Xenopus tropicalis: one gene and its partners. The protein of the gene in region 2 purifies or fractionates together with the protein of the main gene of each other region. This does not show direct contact. Links are inferred from orthologs where the notes say so. Each region holds a gene or a part of one and is shown on either strand. Other genes may lie near its edges. The genes, in order: cope, copg1, arcn1 and nudcd1.

Evidence for each region.
Region 1: the proteins of copg1 (region 2) and cope fractionate together in Homo sapiens (co-fractionation; 6 studies listed by BioGRID and IntAct, counting the BioPlex papers as one, with this or other methods). This does not show direct contact. The link is inferred for Xenopus tropicalis from reciprocal best matches to the Homo sapiens genes COPG1 and COPE.
Region 3: the proteins of copg1 (region 2) and arcn1 purify together in Homo sapiens (affinity purification with mass spectrometry; 6 studies listed by BioGRID and IntAct, counting the BioPlex papers as one, with this or other methods). This does not show direct contact. The link is inferred for Xenopus tropicalis from reciprocal best matches to the Homo sapiens genes COPG1 and ARCN1.
Region 4: the proteins of copg1 (region 2) and nudcd1 purify together in Homo sapiens (affinity purification with mass spectrometry; 3 studies listed by BioGRID and IntAct, counting the BioPlex papers as one, with this or other methods). This does not show direct contact. The link is inferred for Xenopus tropicalis from reciprocal best matches to the Homo sapiens genes COPG1 and NUDCD1.

What each region holds. Positions count from the first base shown.
Region 1 is NC_030677.2:112,612,727-112,620,725, forward strand, and holds the start of cope (coatomer subunit epsilon), read right to left. Parts: upstream 5,185-7,999; 5' UTR 5,143-5,184; coding exon 5,044-5,142; intron 4,812-5,043; coding exon 4,749-4,811; intron 3,966-4,748; coding exon 3,865-3,965; intron 1,235-3,864; coding exon 1,082-1,234; intron 1-1,081. Other genes in the region: probable ATP-dependent RNA helicase DDX49, read left to right, coding at 5,344-5,458, 6,409-6,532, 7,178-7,263. UniProt on the Homo sapiens protein: The coatomer is a cytosolic protein complex that binds to dilysine motifs and reversibly associates with Golgi non-clathrin-coated vesicles, which further mediate biosynthetic protein transport from the ER, via the Golgi up to the trans Golgi network.
Region 2 is NC_030680.2:135,682,464-135,689,996, forward strand, and holds part of copg1 (coatomer subunit gamma-1), read right to left. Parts: intron 6,008-7,533; coding exon 5,955-6,007; intron 5,503-5,954; coding exon 5,422-5,502; intron 4,259-5,421; coding exon 4,187-4,258; intron 3,726-4,186; coding exon 3,646-3,725; intron 3,155-3,645; coding exon 3,079-3,154; intron 2,991-3,078; coding exon 2,898-2,990; intron 2,342-2,897; coding exon 2,255-2,341; intron 2,170-2,254; coding exon 2,012-2,169; intron 1,935-2,011; coding exon 1,801-1,934; intron 781-1,800; coding exon 713-780; intron 105-712; coding exon 1-104. UniProt on the Homo sapiens protein: The coatomer is a cytosolic protein complex that binds to dilysine motifs and reversibly associates with Golgi non-clathrin-coated vesicles, which further mediate biosynthetic protein transport from the ER, via the Golgi up to the trans Golgi network.
Region 3 is NC_030683.2:80,550,073-80,557,605, forward strand, and holds part of arcn1 (coatomer subunit delta), read right to left. Parts: intron 7,329-7,533; coding exon 7,065-7,328; intron 4,824-7,064; coding exon 4,644-4,823; intron 2,736-4,643; coding exon 2,524-2,735; intron 2,385-2,523; coding exon 2,220-2,384; intron 1,567-2,219; coding exon 1,401-1,566; intron 768-1,400; coding exon 620-767; intron 1-619. UniProt on the Homo sapiens protein: Component of the coatomer, a cytosolic protein complex that binds to dilysine motifs and reversibly associates with Golgi non-clathrin-coated vesicles, which further mediate biosynthetic protein transport from the ER, via the Golgi up to the trans Golgi network.
Region 4 is NC_030682.2:133,979,631-133,986,983, forward strand, and holds the end of nudcd1 (nudC domain-containing protein 1), read right to left. Parts: intron 2,922-7,353; coding exon 2,629-2,921; 3' UTR 2,489-2,628; downstream 1-2,488.

The DNA of each region.
Region 1 (7,999 bases), on a different chromosome or scaffold from region 2:
GCCTATATCATTGTGGCTGGTTCTAGTAGCTCAGCTTGACTTCAGTACATAGTAGTTTCACTGTGGTCTTGGTCTTTATTCTTATAGCTAAGAAGTACTTTATTATGACTTATCTGTGAAGTAGGACATTGTAACAGTTTTTTTTATTACAATTTAAATTTAAGGGGTATATTAATCATGCTGTGTAAAAAGTGGATTAAAGCATTACTTGTGATGTTGCCCAACCAACCAATCTGCAATTAGATTTAACAGTTAGAAAACCAAAGCAAAGAATCTAATTGGCTGTTATGAGCACCATCACCTGTACTGTTTCACTTCACTTTTTACACAGCATTATAAATATACCCTTAGGAGTCGGAGTCAGTACATTTTTGCCAACTTTGGGTACCCAAAATTGCTTCTGATTTCAACTCCACAGCTCTGCTCTTAAAATTAAAAATGTCCAAAAACCTCTGTGCTAAAATGTTTTAGTGTATTTAAACTGTGTTTAAATGAGGTCTATTGGGATCTAATTTCCAAAGGTCACCAGTATACCACTTCCTACTTATATCATTATATATATAAAAAAAAAAATTATATATAAATAGATAATGAGGCGCAGAAAAACAAACCCACTCTTTCTACTGACTAGGTATATAACATTTTATTGCATCTTGTTTCCTTATCTGTATGTTATTGTAGTTTAAGAAACAGTACTTAGTGTACAAATGGTGCTATACATTATCATTTCTACAGGAAAACACAAAGAAACTTCACAAAATCTGACATACAGATGAACACACTTTGTGCACCAGCCCTTTCTCAGAGAAAGGGCTGGTGCCCAAAATGTTGCCTGGTTTGTTCGCACAATAACCATTTTTCAGAAGAATCGGCGTGATGCAGCGTGTTTATCTGTGAGTTATATTTAATCCTTGGCTTATCCATACTCTCTGCACAAAATCTGACATATATATGAAATGCATTTAAAATCTTTTAGGCAAACAACTTCAGCATCACAAGGCAGATAGGCCAAAGTAAAATGGTAGAAATACAAGTAAAGTAATTTTAAATGTGTAAGTGAAGGAAAAATAAATTGACATACCATTCCAGGCTGTCTCCTTGGTGTAGGGCTCGCAAGGCTGCATCTGTGTTGCCATCATGGAAGTAAATTGAAGCGGCCATCAGCAGGAATGTTGAATTAGTTATATCAACACTTTTTGCCATCTTTTTGTCAAGATCTGAAACTATGGCATCTCTAGAAATTAAAAAAAAAGATAATTCAAGGGAAAGATTTTGACAAGTTTAATACAAATGTATTTATTTTGAACATAGCTCTCTACATTAAGTCAGATCCTTCCTAAGACAAGATGTTGAACATGCTGCAGAAATCAAGCCAGTGTAAAGCTTTGCACTTTTTAGTATATACTAAGTCTTCCTACTCCTTTGATAAGGAATCCAGTCAAGGAACTGTCTAATATACATGCCTAATTGATTTCCATTGGAGGCAGAAAGCAAGAAGGCAGAACTTAATGCCCATGCTAGATATGTTAAGGGACTTTAAAATAAAAGGACTACTTATTCTATTAAGACGTTTAGAATTTACAACAGTGCATGTGGCCACTCTACATGACTGAACATGGGGAGTAGTTGTACCTGAGTTTCTTTTGCGCTCACTAGAGAGAAATTTAAAATATTCATTTTAGACTGGTATAACTTAGCACTATAATCCAAGTATTATCAAGAATATACATTTGCTTCAGAATGTATATCTAAAATACCTACATTTAAAGGAGAAAAAAGGTAAAACTACTGGGGAGTGGCAAGTTGCCTATTACCCTGAGTGAGTGTATGTGTAGTACAGAAATTCTTTGTTGACTGGGGAAAAAAAAAAAAAACAAAACACTCCACAGTGGTTTTAATCTTTCCTTCTCTTTTAGATATCTTTTATCATTTCACTAAGGGAGGGCTACATTTTTTCTTTGAATTGTGACAGATCAACTATTTGTTACAGACCTATCCTTTCTAGAAAAGCTGTGAACCTATAGTATGTATGATAAAAACTAAACTAGTTCATTAATTAGTCTTCAACAGTCTGTTATCCTAAATTTATAATATAGTCTATCCATCAATATTTCGAGATATCTCTGCAGCTGATTTTAATTTATTCATTTTTGTTTCTGAATTACTTAATATTTTATTCTTTAGCTCTCGATTTTGGAATTTTAGCTTTTATCTCATTATTAAGTTACCACTTAAAGTGCCTATAGAAAGAAACACTTGCTACCAACTATTCCACTTCTGAGCAAGTCAGCAGCCCAACTGGCCCGTGTTTAGGTCAAAAATATTGCCTTTCCAGATCAAAATCTGATTAAAGGACAAGGAAAGGCTGAGTCACTTGGGGGTGCCAAAATGTTAGGCACCCCCAAGTGACTTTAATTGCTTACCTTGTACCCCGGGCTGGTGCCCCTGTTAGGAGAAAACAGCACCAGCCCGGGGTACCTGTAGCGAGCGGTTCCTCCTTCCTTTTGCCGGGACCCCACGACCGGCGCATGCGCAGTAGATTAAAAATTCAACTTCTCTGTTAAAGTTCAGCTTTTTCACTCGACTGCTCATGCACAAACACGCGAAGCAGGAAGCGCTGCAGCTACCCCGGGCTGGTGCTGTTCTCCCCGAACAGGGGCACCAGCCCGGGGTAAAAGGTAGGCGATTTAAGTCACTTGGGGGTGCCTAACATTTTGGCACCCCCAAGTGACTTTGCCTTTCCTTGTCCTTTAAGCTTGGTCAGATATAATACCCAGATTTCTCATTTACTTACTACACTGATAAATCTAATAGTCAGTTATACAGCACAACCCATTAGGGGAGCCTACGGTAGTGTATGAAAGTTAAAAGCAGATGTATCAACACTTGCAGAAGGCACATACTGAAAAAAGTGTCCTCCACTCAAAAAAATAATCATTAAGAAGAAAAGTCACATAACTTATCCTGATGCATCAAGCTAAGCTGATGTAATGTTTCTTCTAATTAGTAAATTAAGTTTATATGAGCCTGGCCTATGATATAGATTTTTGTTCTTGCCCTCTACAAGTTTGGTATATGCCCTCCCCAATCTGAAGACTCTGAAAAGCCAACCTGTTTACTATTTGTGGTTGGATCTCCCCTAAAAGTTTTAGGGAATGATTTAATAAAATTTTTTTTTTTTCTGGACTTGAAAGTAGTATAAACTCGACATGGTTTAAATTCTAATTAAACTCGAATTAAACTTGATCATTGTTGTATTTATAAAATGGGAGTTATTTTCGACAAACTCAAATTTATCAGGGAAAATTTCTGAAAAACTAGAATTTTTCGAGAAACAATATCAGAAAAATCGAGCACTGGCAAAAACCCATTCGTAAATCTCAACAGAAGTAAAAAAAAAAAAAACAAAAATCAACTGTTTCTTAAAATGTCTTAGTAAATGTGCCCCCTAAAGTTAATATATTTATAGGGAGTGCAATGGTTCTAGACCTCATTTCTTGAAACCCAAATGATCACATCTGGTAACCGTTTTAGTTGTATAGGGTCAAGCGAGTTTCTGGTAGTAGCCATATGCCAGTTGTTCTGGTGAGAGCCACAGAGTGGGACAATATAACGGAGAGGCATAGGGCCAGATTTATCAAAATGGGAGTTCAAAGATTTATACATAAAAATTCACCCATGTTCTTTTCATTCCTATGGGATTTTTAGAAGCATATTTATCAAAAGGTGAGTTCTAACTTTAGCCCATTGATAAATATGCTTCTAAAAATCCCATAGGAATGAATAAAAAGTGAATTTTTCTGTAGTGAGCTCTAATCTCAAATTTTGATAAATCTGCCCCCTGGAGATGTAGAATGCACATACCTGCGACTCTCATTGGACAGATACTCTGCAAACATTCGGACAGCCTGTAATTCAGGGTTGGTATTTGGCCGAATTTCATCAAGAACAACCCCATACTTGCGCTGCATGTGGAAAATAAAAGGTCATAAGACCAGGAAGAAATAAGAAGCTTCTTTTACTTAGTTATAAGTGCAGGAGGAAATAAAAAGCTTATTTTACTTATAGGTATAAGTGCAGGAGGAAATAAAAAGCTTATTTTACTTATAGGTATAAGTGCAGGAGGAAATAAAAAGCTTCTTTTACTTATAGGTATACGTGCAGGAGGAAATAAAAAGCCTTTTTTACTTATAGGTATAAGTGCAGGAGGAAATAAAAAGCTTCTTTTACTTATAGGTATACGTGCAGGAGGAAATAAAAAGCCTTTTTTACTTATAGGTATAAGTGCAGGAGGAAACAGAAAGCTTTTTTTACTTATAGGTATAAGTGCAGGAGGAAATAAAAAGCTTCTTTTACTTATAGGTATAAGTGCAGGAGGAAATAAAAAGCTTCTTTTACTTATAGGTATAAGTGCAGGAGGAAATAAAAAGCTTCTTTTACTTATAGGTATAAGTGCAGGAGGAAACAGAAAGCTTTTTTTACTTATAGGTATAAGTGCAGGAGGAAATAAAAAGCTTTTTTTACTTATAGGTATAAGTGCAGGAGGAAATAAAAAGCTTCTTTTACTTATAGGTATAAGTGCAGGAGGAAATAAAAAGCTTCTTTTACTTATAGGTATAAGTGCAGGAGGAAATAAAAAGCTTCTTTTACTTATAGGTATACGTGCAGGAGGAAAAAAGGCTACATTCACAATACTAATGACAGCTGGGTGAGAATAATGTATGATTATAATACAGAGTCTCTCTCACCTGGGCTATATATGCTCTGAACAGGAAAACGTCTCTCTCCACCTCCTTCTCTGGACTTGAAGGCTGTAAAATAAAATATTCCCACGTTACTATTTGATTATCCATCTTACCTCAGATTGTTAGCATGAGAAAAATAATAGATGTTATTGTGCCTGATTCAGTCATGCATGCTGTCGTTATATTTGTTCAATACGTATGCCCAATTTAAAAAGATTGCTGCTATGTCCACTATCCATATCCCTTCAGCCATAACTCCACGCCTCTCTGACCCAGTTTGCTGTAATCGTTAAATCACCTTTACTCTTTGCGCCTCATTAATGCACTGCTGGTAACTTCCAATATAGAAAGAATTCTTCACATCAAATAACTCGTCCACCTCTCCCTGTGCAGCCATTTCTGTATATCCCGGACACGTCAGCCGGCCAGCTTCCACAACTTCCGCCTTCCTTTACCGACTTCCGCCTCTCAGCTAAAGGCATGGCGGGAGATGTAGTACCAAAGGTCAGTTCCCGTAAGGACCAATAGAAGGGCGAGTTGTGTGACGCATTAGTTTGTGCGCCGGAATGTGCTGCTAGTGGCTATCACGCGTGTCAAGATGGAAGGGTTTTCGAGGCTTGGGTTGTCTTCCTGGCTTATCGATCAATGTAGCCAACTGGGCATATTGAAACCTAGTCCTGTACAGGAGAATTGCATCCCGCCCATCCTGGAAGGTGAGATTAGTGAATGCGAATATGATTCTTCGCGATTAAGGGGGCAGATTATCTGAGTTGTCCAGGGTGAGCAAGTCATCTACATAAGTGTTACAAATCATCTGAAAAACCAGTGATCAAAAGGTAAATGGCATAACTATATGTTAAAGGAAAGCAGCGCTAAATTTGCGGGAACCCTAACATTTAGGAGTAAGATTTAATTTAAATGTATTAATCTTCTTTTTTGTCACTGTCCCACTGGTCCCCTTTTACCTTCTGGCCCCCCGGCAGTCTCTTGAAGCGTCAGTTTCCTCCATAGTTACATTCCTATTTATAAATATATTGTGCACAGTTTTGCTTGTACCTAAGTTCGATTCATAATAATTGCATTCATCTAAAGGACATGTAAACCCCACACACAAAAATTTAATCAGTGAACAGCCTCTTTGAAATCTTTCAATACCTGCCACTCTGCTTGTCCAGAGGTTAATAGTAAGGCTGCAACATCCCCTTAATCACTTAGATTTCCTTCTCCTCCTGTAACCCACTCGCCCCCCCCCCCTTGGGAATTTGCTTTGATTCCTGCCTTGCCAGACATGCTCAGTTGTACTAAACTCAGATTACAAAATACGCCCTCCAGTCTAGCAGCCAGTGAAGAGATGGCATTGCTGGTTCCCATAGAAACTCAGCTCTAGCTGTCTGCTTCAATTTTTTCTCCTAACTTTCTCTCCTGAGCTCAGCTCAAACAAAGCAGAACGTTTATCAGACAGTTCTGCCTCTGTGAGCCTGTATTATTGATGAAATGTATGCTGAATAAGGGTCTGCGTGTGTATGCTGTTTGCAGATTTAAATGTATCTGATTATGTATCAGAGGAAAAAAGCCACCTGGTAAAAGGTCAACTATCCATTAACATCTGCACAGAAAATGTATTGTATTTTGTTGAGAACTCATGAAGTTGATGTCCTGTTAGGCCGAGACTGCATGGGATGTGCAAAGACTGGCAGTGGAAAAACAGCTGCCTTTGTGCTGCCTATTCTCCAAAAACTCTCTGAGGATCCCTTTGGAATATTTTGCCTGGTTCTGACACCAACTCGGTGAGTACAGATGCTATTATAATAGTTATTGTATAATTTTCTCATTAAAGAGAAAAAAAGTAATATTGTGGTAGAGCAAAAATTATGGTCTTTCCCTACAATGAACAACAGATGACTTCACAGTTTAGCTTCAGATATTTTACATGATTTTTTTTAGTAGACAAAGTAATATCTAATAATAATGATATGTAGCCCCTGTTAACCTTTGTAAGGTTTTACAGGTCTTTAACACAGGGATACTGAGACATAAAGGCATAGATTTCAAAGAGGGAGGAAAACATTGTAGAAAGATTCTTAAGAAAAAAAAATCTACACATGTATGTATGTATATATTGTTGCTTTGTGAATAATTCTTAACATCCAGTGCACAGCTATAGCCAGTTGTCATTCGTGCATAATCTAAACATAAGTTGCCGGTCTTTAAATTTAGCTTTATCTTCCTCTAGCAAATGTTTGAAATGGATTACAAATGTCAAGTATATTTAGAAAATACAGACTAATTTGTCGTCAGATTAAAACTGTGGTCACTTGTAGACAAATATGTTAAAGATAGAGATCTTTACGAGACCAAAAAAGAGAAACATTTACCAGCAATATTTTTTATATTTCTCTTTATAAGATTTTTTTTTTAAATTTTATTCTCAGAGAACTCGCATATCAGATTGCAGAACAATTTCGGGTCCTAGGGAAGCCACTGGGCTTGAAGGATTGCATTATTGTTGGTGGAATGGGTATGTATCCTGGCTTATCCAGTTGTAGCAAATGTATGAAATATGGTAATGTCTTTACATAAGGTCCAAGAAGGAACTGATCCATAAAAGTAAACTATATAACTGTAGTAGCTAGGGATGCACCAAACCCACTGTTTTGGCTCTGACCGAACCCACCCTGACAGATTCTGCCTAATCCCAAACTGAATCTGAATCCTAATTAGCATTGGGAAGGGTTAAAAGTTGGTACACGCTACAATTTGGCGTGCCCCTACCGTTTAACCCTTTCCGAATGCTAATTTGCACCTACTATTGAGGGAGCAGAATCCAGCCTTTTTTTGATGATTCGGTTTCAGCCGATTCCATGGTCCCGGACGTACCGAATCCAAACTAGCTAGTTCGGATTCGTTACGTCCGGGACCGTGGAATCGGCTGAAACGGAATCATCAAAAAAAGGCTGGATTCTGGTCCCTCAATAGTAGGTGAGACACACCTCTGTGCATTTTGCATCCATTATACATACCACAAATACTGTAAACATATATCACAATTTAGCAATGATTTTGTATGCATGTTGTTTGGGTTTTAGCATAAGTACAGGAAGCCAGAGTGACATTTTTTAATGTTCAGCAGAATATGGATTAGATAATCTAAATGGCTGTTACTTCCGTGAGAACACTGCTTTTGTTCTAAATCTGTCTTTTTCCTTTAAAAGGGTACAGTCATTGTCCAGAGCCCTAGTTAGGTAAAACAAAAG
Region 2 (7,533 bases):
AGGGTAGTGATGGCTAGTGTAGCTATGCTGCGGTTAGAGTCAGTCACCAGGTTCTCTAAGTCCAGGTTGCAGGCAGTTACTGCTGATGGGTGTTTCATGGCCACCTATAACCAAGGTAAGAAAATTACTAGACTGGACTAGAAGGTCCACTCAACTGGCAACTCTTTACCCAATCTGTGGTGGGACAATTCATGCTAATCAAATTATGTGTCCCCTGGGCATATTATTACATCTTAATGGGTCCTATAGAGATATGTTGGTAGTCGTCTACATTAATGGCCTTTTTAAACCTGTACAATAGCTATTTGGCCAAATTTATCCAGCTAACGATTGGACAGGCTGCTTGTTTCCATGCATGGGCCAATAAGCTACCGACTTGGTCTGGAGGGCCCAAGCTGGAACCTAATATCAGCCCATGTATGGACTGATGCAGTCACACATCAATTTTGGTTGTAATCACAGACAATTTTGGGTTGTAGGCAATGGCATTGTACAGTTAATTCCAGCCTTGAAAAGGATTTTTGAAATGTTGGCTCATTTATTTATTGTGGGTCAACAACTAGTAATAACATTAAAGATTTCTTCTGTAATTATTAAAAAAAAGACCAATATTCCACCAAATATGGTAATTCTGGTGAAAATCACTCTAGAGAAGCCTGCTATATGTGTTTTCAAGAATTACTGTAACCTTAAAAAAATATAAACACACTACCTTATTAAGAGTACGGACAGCAGCATATCGAAGGGCAGCTTTTGGGGAACTGCAGAACAGCTGCAACACTAAAGGATGAAAAGAAATGTAACAAATTAATCAAATACTTTGTTTTGTATAAGATCCTGAAAATGATTCTTAATTACGTGTTCAAAAGAACATTATATTGACCATTACTAGTTAGTAAACCATGTTTTATTCTATAGGATTTTGTTCCTAAATAAAACAAGATACACCCATACATGAGATATGTTTTTGTTTGGTAATGCAACGCGTACATGCTACCATTGTCTTAGAAGCTAGTAACTAGAATCACAGTTTTATTGTTGTCTCTGGGCGATATTTAATTGCAACGTAGCTGATTAAACAGAAAACTGCCAACATATGACATATCAGCGCTGTACAAGAGGTGTATATAATGAACACACATGATAAACATACAGGTTACACATGAAAAAAAACTGAGGTAAAAGAGCTTACGGTTAATATTGAAACGTATGCAAAAAAACACAACTATAGGTGTTATGATGACACTGGGGTCTTGCTGAGCTCTGCAGTGCACTACCTAGTTAAGGGATGGCTGATGTGTTGCCTACATGCCTCCCAATGCTTGCCCTACAAATATATCTTCATGAGGGAAGCTTAGGTCCTTGCTCTCCAGACCTATAGTCAAATGCAGGTCACTGGGAAATGGTGCAAAGCAGCAGATTGCTCTTTGTTTTTGGACCCTGCCCCACCCTTAGCATTTCAGCCCTCTTGCGTTTTGCTCAAAATGCCTTCAAACTGTAAGTAATCTCTACTTATGGACAGCAAATGTGCACAGTGCAGATCACCTAGACATTCAGATTTTATTGAAAATTTAGTTTAGAGTAATGGCACAATTTGGGGCATTTTGTTATTTGTTCAAAATAGCACACTCCTCAGTGATGTCAATGACAATCTTGAGGGAAAAAATGCTGGCATTGGCCGATTTGCGGCGTTTTAATCATGCAAAACAGTGGTAGGCACACACCCAAAATCCCTATATGTGTGTATTATTTGGCGGTTGTTAGATTCATCTTTTCACCAATTAAATTAAAAGAGCTTACCAGACACAGCGGGAGCAAGCTCTTTGGCAGTGCAGGAAGGTAGGTTCACAATAGCTGAAGCAGCTTCATAGACAACCATTTCATGCTTGTTTCTCAGACAGCTCTCAATAAAATCAAACAAAGGACTGTCCCGACTAGGAAAGAAAAAATTGTTAAGCAGGCACTGTAAGTATCTATATTAATTTGTAGACTTTAAAAACCACTTAATTACCTCCCATCCTCTTCATCCAACAGCTTGCTAGCCACACGAATCATCATGCAATAGGCAAATGGGGACTTCAGACCATGACGCATAAATTTGCTCAGCATCTTGTTAACAGACAGCCGGTCATTTTTTCGCACGTGGTACAGCAGGCCCAGAGCATGATACTGTGAAACATTAAAGGGCAATGAAATGTGAATGCTAGTAGGGTCAGAAATACTATATGAAAGTTTGGTGTCAGTTTGCACATACCTGAACCATTATATTATCACTGGAAGCTGCCTCTTGAGCCTCATTTACCCAACGTTTGACTACGTCAAAACTGGTTTTCAGTAGGTGCTGCAGGGAGAATAACACGGCATGGGTTATGTTTGTAAATAAAAGGGGGCTTTTAGATTAGATAAAAACAAAGGGGGAAAATTTATCAATGTATATATTTTTTTACCACTCAAAAAAATGTCCAAAACCTGTTCCCTTCATGAGATTCATATCAGGGATTATGAATGGTGTTTAACTATTTAAAGAAGCTAAACACATTCTGACAAATTGACATGTAAAAAAAGGGAAATATGGAGCTTCTGGGTTTTACCCTACTATTTTTTTCTTTTCACCATTTTAGCAGATTATGGCATACACTGGCAATAAATGTACAAAATTGGCAGCTAAACATCTGTATTTACTACAAAGAGTTATTGCACTAAATTAGGAATTAATTCATCAATCATCCCACTTGGAAACTCTGTGAGACACCCCATAGGCCAATTTTCAACACGGGCAGGTTAGAACAACCACAGTGTGACTTAAGGGACATAGTACAACTACAAGATAGTTGCTAGATACACATTAATCTGAAAAAGATTTAACATCTCAATATGATTAAATAAAAAGTATTTACCAATGAGGAGACGAGGGCAGAGCTGGACACACTGGATACTTTGTCTACTATGGCCTGTTTCATGTAACGTTCAATGGCCTGTAGCATGGTACTCTAAAATAAGAAAAACTTAAAATTAGAGCTTGCCTAAAATTAGCTGAACCAAAGGATTCTAAGCCATTTAACTGGAAAAGAAACATACATCTGTGATTTTGCAGAGTGCTCTCACAGCTGGACCTCTGTAGCTGTCATCCTTCCCAGTCATATCTTTGGTTAAACTACGTAACAAAAAAAAATAACAAAAGTTAAAACAAAAAGGCATCGTACATTTAAAAATGGACAAAATAAAATGTTGGCATGCAGTGGTATTGACAGAGTACTAATACTTAGGGGCCACTACTACTTAGACAACTGGCAAAATTGGCAAAGAGGAGCAGAAATATGGACAGAGTATTTTTATGGTTCAGAAAGAATGCTACATATTTTTATATCCACACATATATGACTTATTGGCTGCAATCCAAAGAATGATCTTTTCTTCTAAATAATACCTGATTTAATACAAAAAAAACAGTGCTAAAAATTCTAATATGGGGCACCTGCACCAAAAGGTTATGAAAAATATTTACATGAAGTACAGCTAAATGACTGCTGTTACATGTAATATACTCGGAAACCAAACACCTTCTAAAATATTGCCACTCCGTAATGAAGCCAAAAGGCAGAATGTTTGTTTAGTTCTAATTAAATGGGTTGTTTGCCAACTCACCTACTCGTCACAATAATTACATCCTCAGAAATGCTTGACATCTCCTTTATAGTGAGGTAACACATTCTGCGAAGTGTGGGCTAAAGGGTAATAATAAAGGTAAATAAAATTTGAATTTCAACATTATATATGCCAAGGCAGTTAGGGTTAACGTATTTGCTTTCATAGATATTCATGCAACTATGGCTAAATGGCTGATATAGAAATGTTTTTATATATTTATAACCTTAATAAGAGCAATGGGATTCTGGCAAAACACTGAAACTGGAAAAAGGTTAAACTGAAAAAGTCCAACGAATACTGCAATAATAGAACTTTATGACAGATCACTGAGAGAACATAAAATTTTTATGTTCTGCCTGAAACAATGACTGTGTTTGCCTTCAAGCACAGACTCAAGGTATTTCCCACTACAGACATTGAGAATATAACTGGTAAAACTTCAGTAACAAATTGGTATATGCTTTATATTCCACTAATCATATTTCTGCCTGTCCTTCCAGTTATGATAGACATAACAATCAAGAGAAAAGGTACATACATCGTTTGACTGGAACAGTTTGGTCATGGCAAAGAAAGCTTCTGTTGCTTCTGTGGCACCCATGTGCTCACCCTGGTAACAAAATACAAAGTTACTGTAGGTACTGGAAATCATGTTTGATTCTACTTATAACTCTGCATGAACATGGGGACATGCACAAAAAGGCAAGACTAAACATTATGTACCCCTTCTAATCCTGCTCAGGTTAAAGAGATGCTTATGCCAGTAACATTATCAACTTAACACTTAAGTAACATTTACTTGGTTTGTTCATTGTAATCCAAGAAACCCAAGTATCTGATTCTTGGCAGTACAGCTGCCTTAATTTCAAAGCTGGACCTGTTTAGGAGGCTTAGAACGTTGCTGAATGCTTGTGCAGGGAACATGGACAGCAACCCTATTTCCTAAGCAAAAATAAATCCTAAGCACCAAACCTGTACACCTGATGATTTAAGCTATGATTTGGAATGATGTATGGATGAAATTTTCACAAGACTAGTTCTGTAACTAGCGTGGTCATTGTAATCTTTCAGACTATGGGCTAGGCACCAAATTAGAGCTACATTTGAGTGAGAATGCTACACTGCACGCAAAGAGATGTCAAAGTAGGTGTAGACTTTCATTAATAAGGTTTTAATAGTCTAACCAGAAAATGTATCTCAGTAGTGGTAAACTGACTGTTTTGATTTGACAGTCCCACATAATGCTGTCTGAATCTGCTACAAGATGTATAGGAATTGTACATCCCCTGGGTGCTCAAATCTGTATCAAGGTAAGTGGGGTCCTTGCTACACAACTAACATACACAAATACCACCACCAGAAGGTGATGCTAAATAATAGGTGACCCTATGGTAGTTCAATAGCTCTGCAAATCAGTCATTTAGCCATCAGTAAAAAATAAATAAATACAGGAGGAAGACATACTGGACACTGTTGGTGTAAATGATGAAATAATGATGTAGTAATATGCCATTTGTATAAAAAGACCCTCTTTGGCCTGCTCTAAAGCCAACACTATGGGGCAAATTTACCAAAATGTGAATTGAGAACTAACTCACCCACGTTCTATTCGCTCTTATGGTATTTTTAAAAAATATTTATTGACAGGTGAAAGTTAGAGTTCACTATTTGATAAACATGCTTCTAAAAAATCCCATAGGAATGAACAGAACGTGGGTGAGTTTTTATATATCAAGACTCATGTACACAGAGCAAACTGTATGTTTCACGTACCTGGTTTATTAAATATAGTATCTTCGTCAAGATGTGAGCACATTTTCGAGGGTTAATTGGAGTCTCGTTGAACAGACGAGCCTATAATTCAATGTGAAGGTACAACAGAAAATTCATTACTGAAGGAATTATTTTTCTATATGCTGGATTGCAGACATGATACAACATAAATTCACAGTTGTAGACAAGCTTACACTGCTGCAAAATAAATGACAAATAAGGAGAACTAATGAAGAACTGTGGCCTGTAAGTTAGTAATTATTATAAAATTGAGGAAAATGAAAAAACTAGTTCCAGTATAGGCCACTTCAGCTGCAGAACTACAACTACCAGAAAGTCACTGCTTAATCCCCTGTAAGTGAGATGAGGGGGAGCACTTGTGCAACAGTCAACATGAAAAAGCCCTAAATTGATCTTGAGTCTATTTGGAAATAAAATGCTAGAGGGTACAGAGATGGTCATATGCCAACTTTCACATTTACTGCTGGCAAATTGAGCACCATAAATAAATACACAAAGAGTCAAGGCCTTACCTCCTGGAGCACTGCACTCTTTTCAAGGTTCTGGAAAGGGTTGGAGCTGCCCCCTGGAATAGTTAAAATAAAAACTTTTAAAACTTATGTAAATTAAATGATAACATAGGCACATTATTTAAATAAATGCAAATAATGTATTGCAAATCATGTAGTGATTTCAGGCTTTCTACACTTGGGTTGATTAGTAGGTTGGTTTTAATCCTAGCCCACAGCATGCATTAATAATGAGCAGGTCAGGAAAAGCTCCACCCTGACCCCAAGTCATAAAATACTGCCATTGTAGGACCCGCACCCAACCTGTACCAGTGTCTTTCCACTCCGTACACTACTTCTGAGTGCGCCTCTGGTTTTAAGAGAGGAACACTTCTGAAGCAGAGGAGGCCTGTACTTCCCCAGTCTGACCTGCACACAAAATTAAGTTATGTTTTAAAATCAAACTTGAAATAAATACTAGACACTATAAAAAGAAAAAAGAGCAATAAAACTGCACAGTGTATCTGGTTACAGTGTCAAAGTTAAGTGACTACCACACCACATTTTTTTAGTTGTAGGCTGGAAAGAGAAAAAAAAAACAAAAAACATACAAACACATAGATAATGAAGACCAATTGAAAAGTAAATTATACTAAGTCTACTCAGGGCCACCATGAGAGGTAATCCTATCAGGGGCCCTATGGTAGAAGGGTACCCAACATGAAGATGTGAGTCTAACATGGAGTGGGCAAGGTTTGTTCATACTATCGGTGAGGTTTTGGCATAAAGGGGTGTGGCTGATGCAGATAAGCGGCAATAAGCCCCATTCTATTTGCTGTCATGGCTCACCACCCAGAGGCCTACTTGGCAGTATGCGGCCCATTAATTACTGATGACAATATCAGGGTAGTTTCAGTAAGGTATCCACAGGCGTCATTATAGGACCTAGATCATACAAGTACTGGCTTCCAGGGCTGTGGAGTCGGTAGATAAATTCTCCGACTCCGACTCCTCAGTTTCTGATACTTCCGACTCCGACTGTTTTTAATATGCTAATGTATTTTATACATTCATTGAATGAAAGGAAGGAGACATACATGTCATTTAACCACAGAACTACTGGCTCTGCATTGGGCTTTATTCTTATAGCAGAGAAGTAATTAATTATGACTGTTTGTGAATTGGGACATTTAAACTTGCTTTTTTTTTTTTTATTCCCATTTAAATTTAGTAGGAGTCAGAGTTGGTTCATTTTTTGCCGACTCCAGGTACTCAAAATTGCCGCGGACTCCAGGTACTCAAAATTGCCTCCGACTTCAACTCCACAGCCCTGCTGGCTTCTTTGATGTACAATGGAAGAGACTTTTGTTTATTGGTTAAATAATAATATATCTAGATGCTGATGGGAGATAAAAAGCCTTAAGGAAAACTGCAACATTCTTAAATTTATAATAAAATAGTACAAATGATAAACAGCACATACAAAACTGCGGTGCAGTTGCTGATGGCAACAAACACAGAGCTCTTACATTGATGTACAAACATATGGACGGAATATCACTAAAATAACTTCAGCCTTAAGGTGCCCATACACTATAAGATC
Region 3 (7,533 bases), on a different chromosome or scaffold from region 2:
GGCTGAGCAAAATAAAAAAATAGTTTGAAAATATTTAGTTTGCCAAAAATGTCAGATGTGGGCCTGATAAATGTGAAAGCAGTTGTTTTCCAGGCCGACCTTCGATGAGCTCTGCGTGCCCACATTAGGCAGCTACTGTACTGTAGCAGGACCGAGAGAAGCGGATCTATACATACTGTGTGCCCTTGCCCTTAGCATTTGCGGTGTCACTTACACTCAAAAATTTGCCTAATGAGCAGATGGGGAGCTGCTGCATAGAAATTTGAAGGCATGGATTATTGTTTTTATCTTCGCCAGGTGTTGTACGGTTGGTATAAAAAACAGCATTTTAAAGCATTTTATTTTTTTATTTTTTTTCCTTTAGCCTGCACTGCTGAAGTTTATATTATGAGAAATAAATGCATGTTTTTTTCACTTTACCAACATATACTTTTTGTATCTTACATGCTGTGTACAGCTAATTATTCCTATTACTGAGTGTGTATTAGAACAATTGACTATAGTTTGAATTTGGATGTCCTGTCTGCAACCTTAAACCACGTAAAAGTGTACATGAAAGGATCTGCAGTTAATACTGTCCTGCATAATAGCACACTGAATGTTAAAACACAGTACTTACTGGTGAGGGGAATAAAAGACTCATCTGTGGTCTGCAGTCTCCACTTCAAGACACCCACGTCACTATTCAGAGGGAAGGATTTTTCTGGGTTTTTCAGCCCAATTACCGAATCCGAAGTGAAAAGTTTTTTGTCCACATTGGGATGAGTCTGAGACAAGAAAGCGAAGTTATACAAAACAATATGTAGCAGCCATCCATAACCTTAGACTGTCTACAAAAAGTTTTGACCATTTAAAACTGGAGCTTCAGCTCTTAGTTTTTCAGCCATGCAACCAATCATTTAATTTACAAACAAGCACTATTCAGTACAACTGTAAAGCAGTGTACTAAGCATGTTATACAAATGTTTAGTATACTTGTTTGATCATTCAATTCTCATATTAAAGGACTTGAAAACCCTCAAAAAATTTTTTTGCCTAATTAAAGAAAACATAATTCCAGGCAACTTTCCAATGTGAAAGTTTTTTTTTAATTGAAAAATTTTATAAATTAAATTGCTATTGAAAGCAGCATTTACTTTTTAAACAATGTTGCAAAGGTCAGTCTGCTCCAGCAAGACAGGTCTGTCAGTCTGCTGGCATGTGTTACATTGTTTCAAATGCCAGAGCCACCAGGGAAAATAATAGAAAAGGTAAAGTAATGAATGTATATTGCAAAGTTGCTTACAATTTTTTCTTTTATCAGGCAAAAAAATATATTTTCGATTGACTTTTCCTTTAATCCATTTGTGAACCATGAAAGACAGTTTATTTCAGTAATTCAAATACAGATGCTTCCTAACCTGCAGTTGTACTCCTTTTTTATCTTCATTTTCAATGTGCACACGGATCCTGCCAAACTTATCATCTGTCACTCTGAGCATAATCAGCCCGTGAACCTCCATATTCTGAAGTCCTCCATCCCGGCTGCAAGTAAGGGAAATTTTTTCTTCAACCCTCAAGTGAACACTGTAGATGAAAATAAAGAATATACTCAGAAGTCAAAAACAGCACAAATCTGCTCACCAAAAGAAAAATCAAAGACCCTGTTGGGAGATGCAAAGCAGAGGTAGGGATTCTAGCACAAAATACTAAAGTTTTACTAAGTTTGCTATTGTGGTAAGTCCTTTAACATGAGAGTGGTTACCAACAATTTATAACATGTTAAATAATAAGCTGCCAAAATGTTGGTTTGCTACAGGCAGCTCGAACATAAAAATCTAAAAAGCTGTTGCAAACTGTATACATACAGCATAGAAGTTTATAACAGAGAATAGAGCTTTTAATCAATAAATGGATTTCTCTAAAATGGTGCATTTCATCCCCTCTCAACAAATGTGAATGCTAAAGGGATACGGTCATCAAATAAATCGCACCTTTTGTAATAATTTGTGAAGTTTTGATTGTTCTGCCTTTGCTAGCCTTTCTTCAAATGTTGAGAAAACAAATATTGAATTCTTCCCACTTAAATCACACAATCTAATTTCTATAAGAAATGCAAAATACTGAGCATAAATAACTGTTTTTATATATACAAAGAAAATACTGGATAAAACCTCTTTCACCACAACTGATATTACAAAATATCAGACTTCCTGTCCCCATAAATTCCCAACACTGACCTCTCCATGTTCACGGGAGGAGCAAGCACCTTGGCCACTTCTGACTGCCTCTTGCCAGATGAAGGGGTGACAATAGTTTCTCCTTCAGATTTTAATTTGTCCACAAAGTTATCCACCTCCTTCCCTTTAGCTCCAAGTTTCAGGGCTTTGCCAGAACCAGATGGCCTACAGGGGGCAAGACAATATGTTGCACATAAAAACCTTTTTAAAGCCATAATTCTACAATTCCCATTCCATCATTTTAAATATTATACAGTTCATTTGGTTTGCAATAACACTTTACAATTGTATTTTGCTTGTATACCGTGATGGAACAGGGGCACTCTTTGTTTTCTCTGGTTCTATAATGGTCTCTGTAATCAGCGAAACTGCATTGTTAGACATGGAGGAACCACCCGAACTTCCAAACCCTCCAAATCCAGGAGCCTTCTTGCCCTGCCGCTCTGCATCCCTTCTAGCCTGCTGAAGCTCCTTGGCTTTGCGTCGCATCTCTGCCTTGGCTTCTCTTTCCTGTGTCTGTAAAGAGTGCAGAAAGAAAGGTGCATGAATAACTCCAATATCTATATAACAGAAAACAGTTTTACTCTTAAAAATGCTTTAGCGAAAGGCTTGCATTTTATTTTTGTCAGTTGAAAGAAATTTCATTGGGGGTGCCAATGTTTGGCACCCCTCAGCAAATCCAATAAGTAATGCAGCACCATCATCTTTCTTATATTAGTTGTAACTCAGTAGATTTACACTTGCAAATGCACAGAAGAGTAAAATGTTTGAAATTAACAAAAAAAATTATACTAAAATGTAACACTGCAAATGGAGCACTCAGATTTTAGGTACCATAAGTAAAAAAGATAAGAAAACAAATGTTTTACTGAATTACCTAAAACCCCCATGTTAAAGGGGTAGTTTATCTTCAAATACATTGTTAGTATAATGCAGATATTCTGAGACAACCTGCAGTTAGTCTTCATTTTTATTTTTTGTGGTTTTTGATTTATTTAGCTTTTTAATACAGTTTGGAATTTCAGTAGCAATCTGGTTGCTAGGATCCAATTTACTCTAGCAACCAGGAAATGGTTTGTAAAACAGACTGGAATAGAAAGAAGAGTTGTCCGAGAACCAAGCATCACTTGCGGAGAGCTTCAGAAAGACCAGGAATTAGCAGGTACAGTTGTTTCAAAGAAAACAATAAGTAATGCACTCAACCAACATGGCCTCTATTCATGCTCACTGTGCAAGACTTCGCTGCTGAAGAAAAAACATGTTAAAACTCAACTTAAGGTTTGCCGCACAACAATTGGACAAGTCAATTAAATTCTGGGAGAATATAGTCTGGTCAGATGAGACCAAAATTGAACTCTTTGTATGTCATTGCACACATCATGTTTGGAGGAGAAATGGCACTGCATCACCCCAAAAACACAATGGAAACATCATGGTGAGGGGCTGTTTTCAGCATATGGTACTGGCATACTTCATATAATTGAAGGAAGGATGAATGGACAAATGTACCAGGACATTCTTGATAAGAATCTGCTGCCATCTACCATGCTGAAGATGAAACGAGGGTGGATATTTGACCAAGGCAATGATCCCAAACACACAGCAAAGGAAACTCTCAGTTGGTTTCAGAAAAAGAAAATAAAGCTGCTAGAATGGCCCAGTCAATCACTCTACTTAAATCCTATTGAAAATCTATGAAAAGAACTGAAGATCAGTGTTCATAGAAGAGGCCCCCGAAACCTTCAAGATTTGAAGACAGTTTGTGTGGAAGAAGGGGTCAAAATCACACCTGAACAATGCATGCAACTAGTTTCTCCATACAGGAGGCGCCTTGAAGCTGTCGTTAAAAAGGCTTTCCTACTAAGTATTAAATACATTTCAGTAAGTGTGTTCAATACTTATTCCCAGTGTCATTACACTTTTATGGACTTACTAGTTTTGATTTCTATGTATGTGCGGATTACTTGGGCTGTTACAGATATCTGGTGTAAATTTCAAGTCAATAGCCCCATCAGAAATATATTTACTGAGAAAAACATTGATGTGTTCAATACTTATTTTCCCTGATGTATATCAGTAGACATTATGACTCGCTGAAGATCCATCACTACTGGTAACTAAAGCACAAACCAGTTATACCATCAAAAGGAACAACTGCCAAGTTAAGCAAGCATAACAAGATTCATACTGGTTCTAAAATTATGGTATTAACGCAAGCATTCTCCATATCTTCATAATAGCCCTTTTAATACACTGAATTACTGGAAAAAAAGTGTTGAAATTTCGCTCAAAAGGTCTTCATAAATTGATTTATAGTTCGTACCCTGAATAATTTCACATATGCACCAAGAAGGGTTGACTAAAGCTACAAGTAGGTCATTGCCTTAAATGTATGCTGGATAAGATCTCTACTTGTAGTCTTACCTCTCTGACTGCACGGAACACCTTTTCCTCATGCGAGTCCATCTCTGTGAAAGTTCTTATTTGGGCCAGGTTCACATTCTCTCTGTATCCAAGGGCCACAATCTCATCAAATGCAAAGATCAGATCAAAGCAGTGGTCTGAAATCTCTGTCTCCTCCAGAGCTCTGCAGTACTCAGGAATCTACAGTAGGAACATACAACAACATATATTATCATATATTATGGAATACGCATGAAAGTGAATATATACAGTTATGGGATCCCTTATCCAGAAACCCATTATCCAGAAAGTTCCAAATTACGAAAAGGCCATCTCCCATAGACTCCATTATAAGCAAATAAATCTAATTTTTAAAAATGATTTCCTTTTTCTCTGTAGTTATAAAACAGTAAATTGTACTTAATCCCAACTAAGATATAATTAATCCTTATTGTAGGCAAAACAAGCCTATTGGGTCTATAATATATAAATGATTTTTAGCAGCCTTAAGTTATGGAGATCCAAATTACATAAGGATCCCTTATTCGGAAAACCCCAGGTCCCGAGCATTCTGGATAACAGGTCCCGTACCTTCATCAGGTTTCTGTGTGAGACTGAAACGTTGAGTAATAAACCTTTCTATCTTTGCATTTACATTTTGCTCACAATTCTTTAAATCCTAGGAATGCTGTCCTTGTTCCAGTGCATTTTTTGTAATAAACCTTTCTATTTTTGCATTTACATTTACATTTTGCTCAAAATTGTTTAAATCCTAGGAGTACTGTCCTCATTCCAGTATATATATATATATATATATATATATATACACATATATATATATATATATATATATATATATATATATATATATATATATATACATATATATATACATATATATATGTATATATACATATATATATATATGTATATATACATACATATATATATATACATACATACATACACAGTAAGAGGAGTACTGGGGAGATAGTTGAAGTTGATGGGGTGTATATAGGTAGGTTACATACACTAAGACCCTGGAAACTGTGTGGTATTGTGGCAGGCCACAATAGGATTCATTTTTAGCCCAAAGTGAAACCAGCACCATATATTATTCATGATTGCCTACAAAATTATGTCTCCTTTAATCAAATAATTCACATTTTTATAAATAAATAATTTCCTTTTTTTTTTGTTTCATTTACTTCACTAGGTTTTCTTCATCTACTTGTATATCTTGTTTGAAAATCAGATGTTTTAGGTCACATTAATATAGAATATTTTAAAGGGTTCACCAACTTTGAAGCACTACTGTAAACATCTCCTTCTGTGCTCAAGGGGGGGGGGGGGAAGGGCATGCACTGAATGAACAAACGCAGGGAAAAACTGGGAGCACTGAAAAAGGTGGCAGCTACATAAAAGCATTCCAGGCCAACGTGTTTTTTTTTTTTTATAAAGAAGAGATGGCTTAGGATATGAGGTTAGCAATTATAGTCACTGGTGGTGACTAACAATTGGCACTGGCAAGTGATTTTACCTTTTCTTCTCCTCTGTGACGTACTATACAGAGGTGGCTCAATCATATTTTTTAAAGTGCAAAACTTGGGAACATATTGTCCTTTTAAAGGTAAGTTTCCTCTTGAATTCACAATTCAGTTTGAATGGAGTCCCTTGTGTATTCTGTGGCATTTAACGTTGCCTCTACAATAGCAAATTCACACCATGAGAAGAAACAGTTCGGTGCTAATGGAAGACATTTAGCCTTTTGCATCAGTATCATTATAATACCTCCACAAATATGGACAACCTAATGCCATGTAAAGACCTAAAACTATAGCCTTCCTGCTATATGCTAACATATTAGCTGGAAAGGCTGGTGTCTGTGCAGGCATAAAGATGAAACATGCTGAATACATGTTAAAGAGATTATATGTTCCGATAGATGCCACAATGTAGTGTTCATGTGCGCGGTCACCGTTGACCTAAGATAAACAGTCCTGAGGTGTGTCAGCTTGTAGAAAGGGGAGATGAAGAGCAGCTAAGCATATCATTAAATGGGGAGGATGTAGGAGTGACCACAAATTTGTATGCAGGAACAAGCACATCATTGCACCATGGAGGGGGGAGGCTGGCTATAAAAGCCAGGCATGTTAGCAGAGAAGGTCAGAGGCAAAGACTGACAGGCATGCTTATCTTGTAACCTTTATATTATATAGTTGTCTATAGGATTATATTCATACAGTTGTGAATTTAAGGAAATTAGTGTTTTAACTGTCTGAGCATGGTTTGTGGGTGGGGTATTTTCCATCTCAAAATTTGCAGGTTTAGCTAGTGATATTGGGATAATACCTTTAGTATTTATATTAGATTTAATACCCCAGAAGTGTAATGCCCTTCCATGTTCTATTCTAGAGTCATCAGAGCAGGTTTTGTACTTACCACCCTGGAGAACAATCTGAGTGTTTCAAGGTCCTCCAGGATGTTGCTGTTCTTGGTAGTGATAAGAACCATGTAGAGCTTCTCCATGGGTTGGTAAACATACCGAACACTTTCTGTCTCAACAAATGTGTGCTGCTTTCCTGTGTTCATAAGCTTTGGAAAAGCGGCCAAAAGTCCTTCAATACGTGTGCGGGTCATCTCAACAAACTGCCTTGATACAATGGCCTTACCGGCCTTGGTGCAGACTGCTGCCGCCAGCAGCACCTGAATTAGAAAAGAAAAAGTAAATTCTAGTGCCAGCATTATAGACAAGTAGTTAATAAATGAATTTAAAAGCTTCACAAGAAATTCTCTCATCCACATTAATGGTGTTGTTACTATTTCTACAAGAATGTGGCTTTGTGGGGCTCCTGTTTTTCAGTTTATATAAATGGGCCTTATTTTTAAGCATGGCATTAATTGGTGCCCG
Region 4 (7,353 bases), on a different chromosome or scaffold from region 2:
ATTTCCAGCTATAAATGAGAATTACAATTTGATTGATGTACTAAAATCAAAATCTCCTTTCATCTTCCTTTTCCGTCACTTTGTCCCAGGTTTCTTTTATTCTTTGCTTACTCAAGTGCTTTACGGACAATCTTCTTGGAATAACCATGGTTCTGGAACAGACCACTCATGGGCGGAATGTCATACTCCCTGTATGTCTCATCTGTACATACCTGTAAGCTGTTCATGAACTAAGAATATATCATTTGTACAGATCAACAGATCTTTTTTTTTGTCTGATTATGGTTCATTTCACAGCTATTATCTTTTGTTTCTATGAAATTCAAGATTGTGATATTAATGGAGCAACTTTTCTCAGGTTATAATTTTGTGTATCATATCTTGTATTGCTGTGCACTTGACAGCAATTCCTCTAGCTATTTATAGGTCAAAATGTTATCTGATATCTTTTTTTCTGTACTTAATTATATTATATAATGTTTTATGTACAGGTATGGAACCTGTTATCCAGAATGCTTGGGACCTGGGGTTTTTGGATATGGGATCTTTCTGCAATTTGGATATCCTACGTTAAGTTTGCTAAAAATCATTTAAATAGGATTGCTTTGCCTCCAATAACGATAATCTTAGTTGGGATCAAGTACAGGTACTGTTTTATTATTACAGAGAAAAGGGAATCATTTAACCATTAAATAAACCCAATAGGGCTGTTCTGCCCCCAATAAGGGGTAATTATATCTTAGTTGGGATCAAGTACAGGTACTGTTTTATTATTACAGAGAAAAGGGAATCATTTAACCATTAAATAAACCCAATAGGGCTGTTCTGCCCCCAATAAGGGGTAATTATATCTTAGTTGGGATCAAGTACAGGTGGCACACAGCACTTACAGGTAAAGTTCCCTAAGAGGGTGCAAGAGGGGAATCGACCAGGGGTAGGAAGTAAGTAACTAGAAGACTACTTTAAACGATTTACCTTTTTTTGACACATACACGTATAGGATCCGTTATATGAAACCTGTTATCCAGAAAGCTCCAAATTACAGGAAGGCCATGTCCCATAGACGTCATTGTAATCAAATAATTCACATTTTTAAAAATGATTTCCTTTTTATCTGTAATAATAAAACAGTACCTGTACTTGATCCCAACTAAGATATAATTACCCCTTATTGGGGCAGAACAGCCCTATTGGGTTTATTTAATGGTTAAATGATTCCCTTTTCTCTGTAATAATAAAACAGTACCTGTACTTGATCCCAACTAAGATATAATTACCCCCTATTGGGGGCAGAACAGCCCTATTGGGTTTATTTAATGGTTAAATGATTCCCTTTTCTCTGTAATAATAAAACAGTACCTGTACTTGATCCTAACTAAGATATAATTACCCCTTATTGGGGCAGAACAGCCCTATTGGGTTTATTTCATGGTTAAATGATTCCCTTTTCTCTGTAATAATAAAACAGTACCTGTACTTGATCCCAACTAAGATATAATTACCCCTTATTGGGGGCAGAACAGCCCTATTGGGTTTATTTAATGGTTAAATGATTCCCTTTTCTCTGTAATAATAAAACAGTACCTGTACTTGATCCCAACTAAGATATAATTAATCCTTACTGGAAGCAAAACAATCTTATTGGGTTTAAATGATTTCTAGCAGACTTAAGTTAGGGAGATCCAAATTATGAGACCCCTTATCTGGAAAACCCAGGTCCCGGGCATTCTGGATAAGTAATAAACGAGTACAAATTGCTACAGCAGCCAAGGATGGCACAGTGCTAAGCACTACTCATTTGCTTGGCCGGGGTCCCGAGTTCAATTCTAACCCCTGTATCTACAGTATGTGTGTCCAGAGCTCCTAAAGAAATTAACCATAATGAGTGAATATGATAGGAACTTTTTAATCAACACTGGGGACTGATTTGAATGATCAACTTAAGAATGATCTCTTAAGTGTTCTGTTAAAGGGGCTGTTCACCTTTGAGTTAACTTTTAGTATGATGCAGTAATATTATGAGACACTGTACAACTGGTCTTCATTTTTTTAATATCTTTAGTTTTTTCATTATTTCACTTTTTAATTATTTCACTTCAGTTTGGAGTTTCAGCAGCTATCTGGTTGCTAGGGTCCAAATGACCTTAGTAACCAGAATGAGGTTTAAATGAGAGACTGATTTATGAATAGGAGAGGACCTGAATAGAAAAATAATCTATACAAAGTAACAACAACATTGTAGCCTCACAGAGCAGCAGTTTTGTGGGTACCGGGGGTCAGTGACTCCAATTTGAAAGTGGGAAAGAGTCAGAAGCAGAAAACACATAATTCAAATAATAAAGACCAACTGAAAAGTTGCTAGAAATAGGTTATTCTATAACATACTAAAAATTAACTTAAGGTGAACCCCCCTTTGAAAAGAATAAATAAGCAGGTTCCTTATGAACATATTTAGCACTTTTGCCTTATTGCACAGAAAACAAGGGACTTATATTTGACATATTTTATTGGAATGCAGGTAGGTAATGAATTCATTCAATAAAAATGGTCTCTTTCTTTAAGAAAAACAAAAGAAGCATAATGTTCGGTTTTACTGAACTGCGACAATATGTCAGCAGCACTCTTTAATTAATCTGTACTGTTTACCTTTATTACAGATAATTTCTTTGTGGTTAGAACGAATAACCTTTCATTGGAGGCTTGAAATCCTACTATGGGATCTGTGGTTTCCAGGCTGGCTACCTGCTGCTTAGCAACCTGCCCGACTCTCCTACCCTCCTTCCGGTTGTACAACTCAGTGGATACGGGGGTGGGCTGGCGATAGATGAATATTCTGCGCACGCATTCGCACAGAGCCGAATAGGAGAAATTGGGCGCACACGTGAAGAACTTCTTGTCTTGCTTTGATGCCTGGACGTATCCTGTAGTACAAACACAGACACATTAAATAATCATAAGAAACATCAATCTTTTCAGTTGGGTTCTATTATTCACTTATTGGGTATAAACACCAAAACAACGAATCAGTCGTTACAAAACACAGCCACCTCGAAGGTAAAAGAAAAGTAACTGAATACAAATTTATGTATAGGTATGGGACCTATTATCCAGAATGCTCGGGACCTGGGGTTTTCCGGATAAGGGATCTTTCCGTAATTCCGATTTCCATATCTTAAGTCTGCTAAAAAAAACATTTAAATATTGAATAAACCCAATAGGATTGTTTTGCCTCCAATAAAGATTGATTATATCTTAGTTGGGATCAAGTACAGGTACTGTTTTATTATTACAGAGAAAAGGGAATCATTTAACCATTAAATAAACCCAATAGGGCTGTTCTGCCCCCAATAAGGATTAATTATATCTTAGTTGGGATCAAGTACAGGTACTGTTTTATTATTACAGAGAAAAGGGAATCATTTAACCATTAAATAAACCCAATAGGACTGTTCTGCCCCCAATAAGGGGTAATTATATCTTAGTTGGGATCAAGTACAGGTACTGTTTTATTATTACAGAGAAAAGGGAATCATTTAACCATGAAATAAACCCAATAGGGCTGTTCTGCCCCCAATAAGGGGTAATTATATCTTAGTTGGGATCAAGTACAGGTATGGGACATCTTATCCAGAATGCTCGGGACCTGGGTTTTCCGGATAAGGGATCTTTCCGTAATTTGGATCTCCGTAAATTAAGTATGCTAAAAATCATTTAAATATTGAATAAACCCAATAGGACGGTTTTGCCCCCAATAAGGATTACCATATATACTCGAGTATAAGCCAATCCGAATATAAGCCGAGGTACCTAATTTTACCTAAGAAAACTGGAAAATCTTATTGACTCGAGTATAAGCCTAGGGGGGGAAATGCAGCGGCTACTGCTAAGTTTCAATAATCAAATAATTAATAAAGGACACTCAGCGTGACCCCCTGTGAACTCTTCATAAATATATATGTCGACAGCTGCAGATTAGGGAAAGGTGGATGGAGCCTAAAATAATTTTACTCGCCCCCATCTGGAAGGCTGTGCCCAATGCCTAGAACCTCTGATAAGCAGCTACTGTGAGCAAAGCACTGAATCTCCCACCAATCAGAGCAGAGTTCTCAACTGCTGCTTGTCAGAAGTTCTAGGTAAAGATCCTTTAGAGTAGCAGGCTTCTGGATGGGGGTGAGAAACGTTTGCCTCATAGTTTTCATTGTTTTACCTTTTATTTTATTTAACTGTCAAGCAAGTTTGGGGAGGCTAAAGAATTTGTAATGGGCAGAATGCACACTCTAAACTGATGGAATGAAACCGTTGAGGGCGCTACATTCTTCCAGGCTATATAGTCTCAGCCCACCTGGGCTTCTCATCCAGCCAGGTCCTCTAAAAGTGGGGAACCGACTACCTCAGCCATCCTGCTTTGTACCATCCTGCAATCCTGCTCTGTGTGCTCTCCTCGTAGCTGCCATACTAAGTATATAGTAATTGTTACTTAACAGGGTGGATGTGATTGAGCATGGCTGGTTTGTGCAATAAATAAACCCAAGATGTTGAAAAATCAGCATACAGTAAGTCAGTAAATACCATCTTCTTATTGGTTGGTATGGATTACTCAAACTGGAGCACCACTTGTGATTACCACCTGTAAAGCTTTGTTTGTACCTAGGCCCCTTTGTATTCCCCTCCCTTCGTTGCCATACGTCTAGGAGACTTTGCACCACCGAAAATTGAGCGCAGCTGTGAATTTTTTTGCTTTCCACCTTTAGGGTGAAGACACATGGAGCTTCTTAGCTACTTAGCAGCTACTTGTCACAGCTACTTGTCACAGCTACTACACTCCAGAAAATCCCCTGCCATAGACAATATTGAGAATTGCCTCTGCTAAAGCACACGTAGAGACAACTATCAGTAAATGATCAGCATTGTCTGTTTTAGTAGCCAAGACAAGTAGCTGCTACTAGTAGCTCCATGTGTCTTCACCCTAAAGGAACGTATTCTAACAGGTGTGTTTGTCCTTTCACACCTCTCTGATCCACTGTGTGCATTAAAGTCGCTATACAATAAAACATTTTTCCACAAAAGCTTAGAAAGGCTGGGAAAGCAGAGAAGTAATGCCGAGTGCTAATCAGGCTTCCATTAGTCTCTTTTCATAAGGCACAATACACAGTATCTCAGAGCCACATGTAATGACTTTTCTGAAGCCTAATTTGCAGTAATAATGAGTGCGACAAGGCAGCTTCGTTAAGCAAACATTAAAAAAAGAGTAGTAATATCCGATTGCTTTTCCAATGTTTCAAGGAAAATATTCTGTCAGCTCAAATGTTCAGAGAAACTATGGGTTGTCAGAAATGAATGATACAAATTTCAATATGTGTAAAAAGCTCAACACCCACTTCATCGAGCAAATAGATTGGCTTTTATAGGTTTATACTAACAATAAGTTGCTTTATAGTGAAAGGAAGAACCGTTATTCAATAGCAATATACTGTATAGCTTGGAAGCGTCAAAAGTGGGTCAAACACTCTCACGCTCTCTAATTTCTCTTTAAATTCAACAGGAAAACATTCTACAAACCAATGGCGTTGTTCCAGTCCTATCTATTCTGGATTGGGGAGTTTCTGGGGTATGGAAATTTGGCACCTAAAGGGGTTAATGTGATGTAGAGAATGCTATTGAGACAATTTGCAATTGGTCTTCATGTTTTATTATTTGCAGTTTTTGAATGATTTAGTTCTGTGCAGCAGCTCTCTAGTTTGGAATTCCAGCAGCTATCTGGTTGCTAGGGTAAAATTTAACCTAGTAACCAGGCAGTGGTTTGAAAGAGAGACAGATATGAATTATGAATATAATATGAATTGAGGAGGGCCTAAATAGGAACATAAAGTAATAATAACTAAAAAAAGTGTTACCTCACAGGGCAATTGTTTTTGGCTGCCAGGTTCAGTGAACACCTTCCCCCCCCCAACTCAAAGCTGGTAAAGAGGCAGAAGGCAAATAATTCACACACTATAACAAATTAAAAATGAAGACCAATTGAAAAGTTGCTAACAGGCAATTCTATAACACACTAAAAGTTAATTTGAAGGTGAACAAGCCATTTAAACGCTGCCCGAGACAAGGTTCTCACCATGGTAAGAATGTCCCCATTTGAAACTTCTTAATGACAGGCCTATACATTCCCCATTGTATTGTAAATAACAACATGGGGTCAGGGCCTTATAGAAAAAATACACACTGGCAAGTGTAAGTATGACCATACTATTAGCTGTTTACAGATACCAACTGTATTTATAGATTTCATCAATAGGTTTACACTGAGCAGTTTGTTTTTCCTGCTACTGACCCTATATCAGTGATCCCCAACCAGTGGCTCAGGAACAACATGTTGCTCACCAACCCCTTGGATGTTGCTCCCAATGGCCTCAAAGCTGGTGTCCATTTTTAAATTTCTGGCTTGGAGGCAAATTTTGGAGGCATAAAACCATGTGTACTGCCAGTCCACATTGGGCTACCAAATAACCAATTGCAGCCCTTTTTGGGAACCCCCTAGGAACTTTTTTTTCATGCTTGTGTTGCTCCCCAACGTTTTTTTATATCTAAATGTTGCTCATGAGTAGAAAAAGGTTGTGGATCCCTGCCCTATAGCATTATTTATATTGTGTAAATGTTTAATCATGAGGGGCCCTATGTGCCTGCACTCCTCTTTGCCATTAAATGATCCAGCCCAGGGAACTAGTGAGTGTCGCTAGCTTATTCCCAGTCCAGAGCATCTGTGAAGATCCCAAGGGCAGGAAACAAAATGGTGGCATGGTGCTCACTAGAATACTACCATGAGTTGGTGTTTTTTTTTAGTGGAGTACTGGTCCAGTTACAGATTATAAAAGCGTAGTAGGAACCTAACCAATTGGCACTGCCAGTGATAAAGCATTTCCTTGTCTCTTTGGCCCCAGTTACATGGAGTGTTTACTCCACTTCTCTCCGCCTGCGGTTTTCAGTCAGATCCCGTCTAAAACCCATCGCCCTGTTGCTGCACTGACAACCACAGCGAGTTGATAATATGCAGTGACAACTCAACCTCCATCTCTGCTAAACCTGTATTTAACAAAATGATCTGCATGCTATTCACAGGAAACACCACCTTGGTTTTACCCCACTCTCTGTTGGACCAAAATAATAACATACGGATCATTTTAAAAAGCATGTCAATTTCCCTTTCAGCTGCAATAGAACGAGTTGTGAAAATGCATCATTTGTATATTAATATCCTTAGCTCCTGGGTGCGGATTTGTAGCAATTCTTCTAAAAGAATGTCTCAAAAAAAAAAAAAAAAAATCCTCAATTTGCACTTCTAAATATTACAACTGGAAT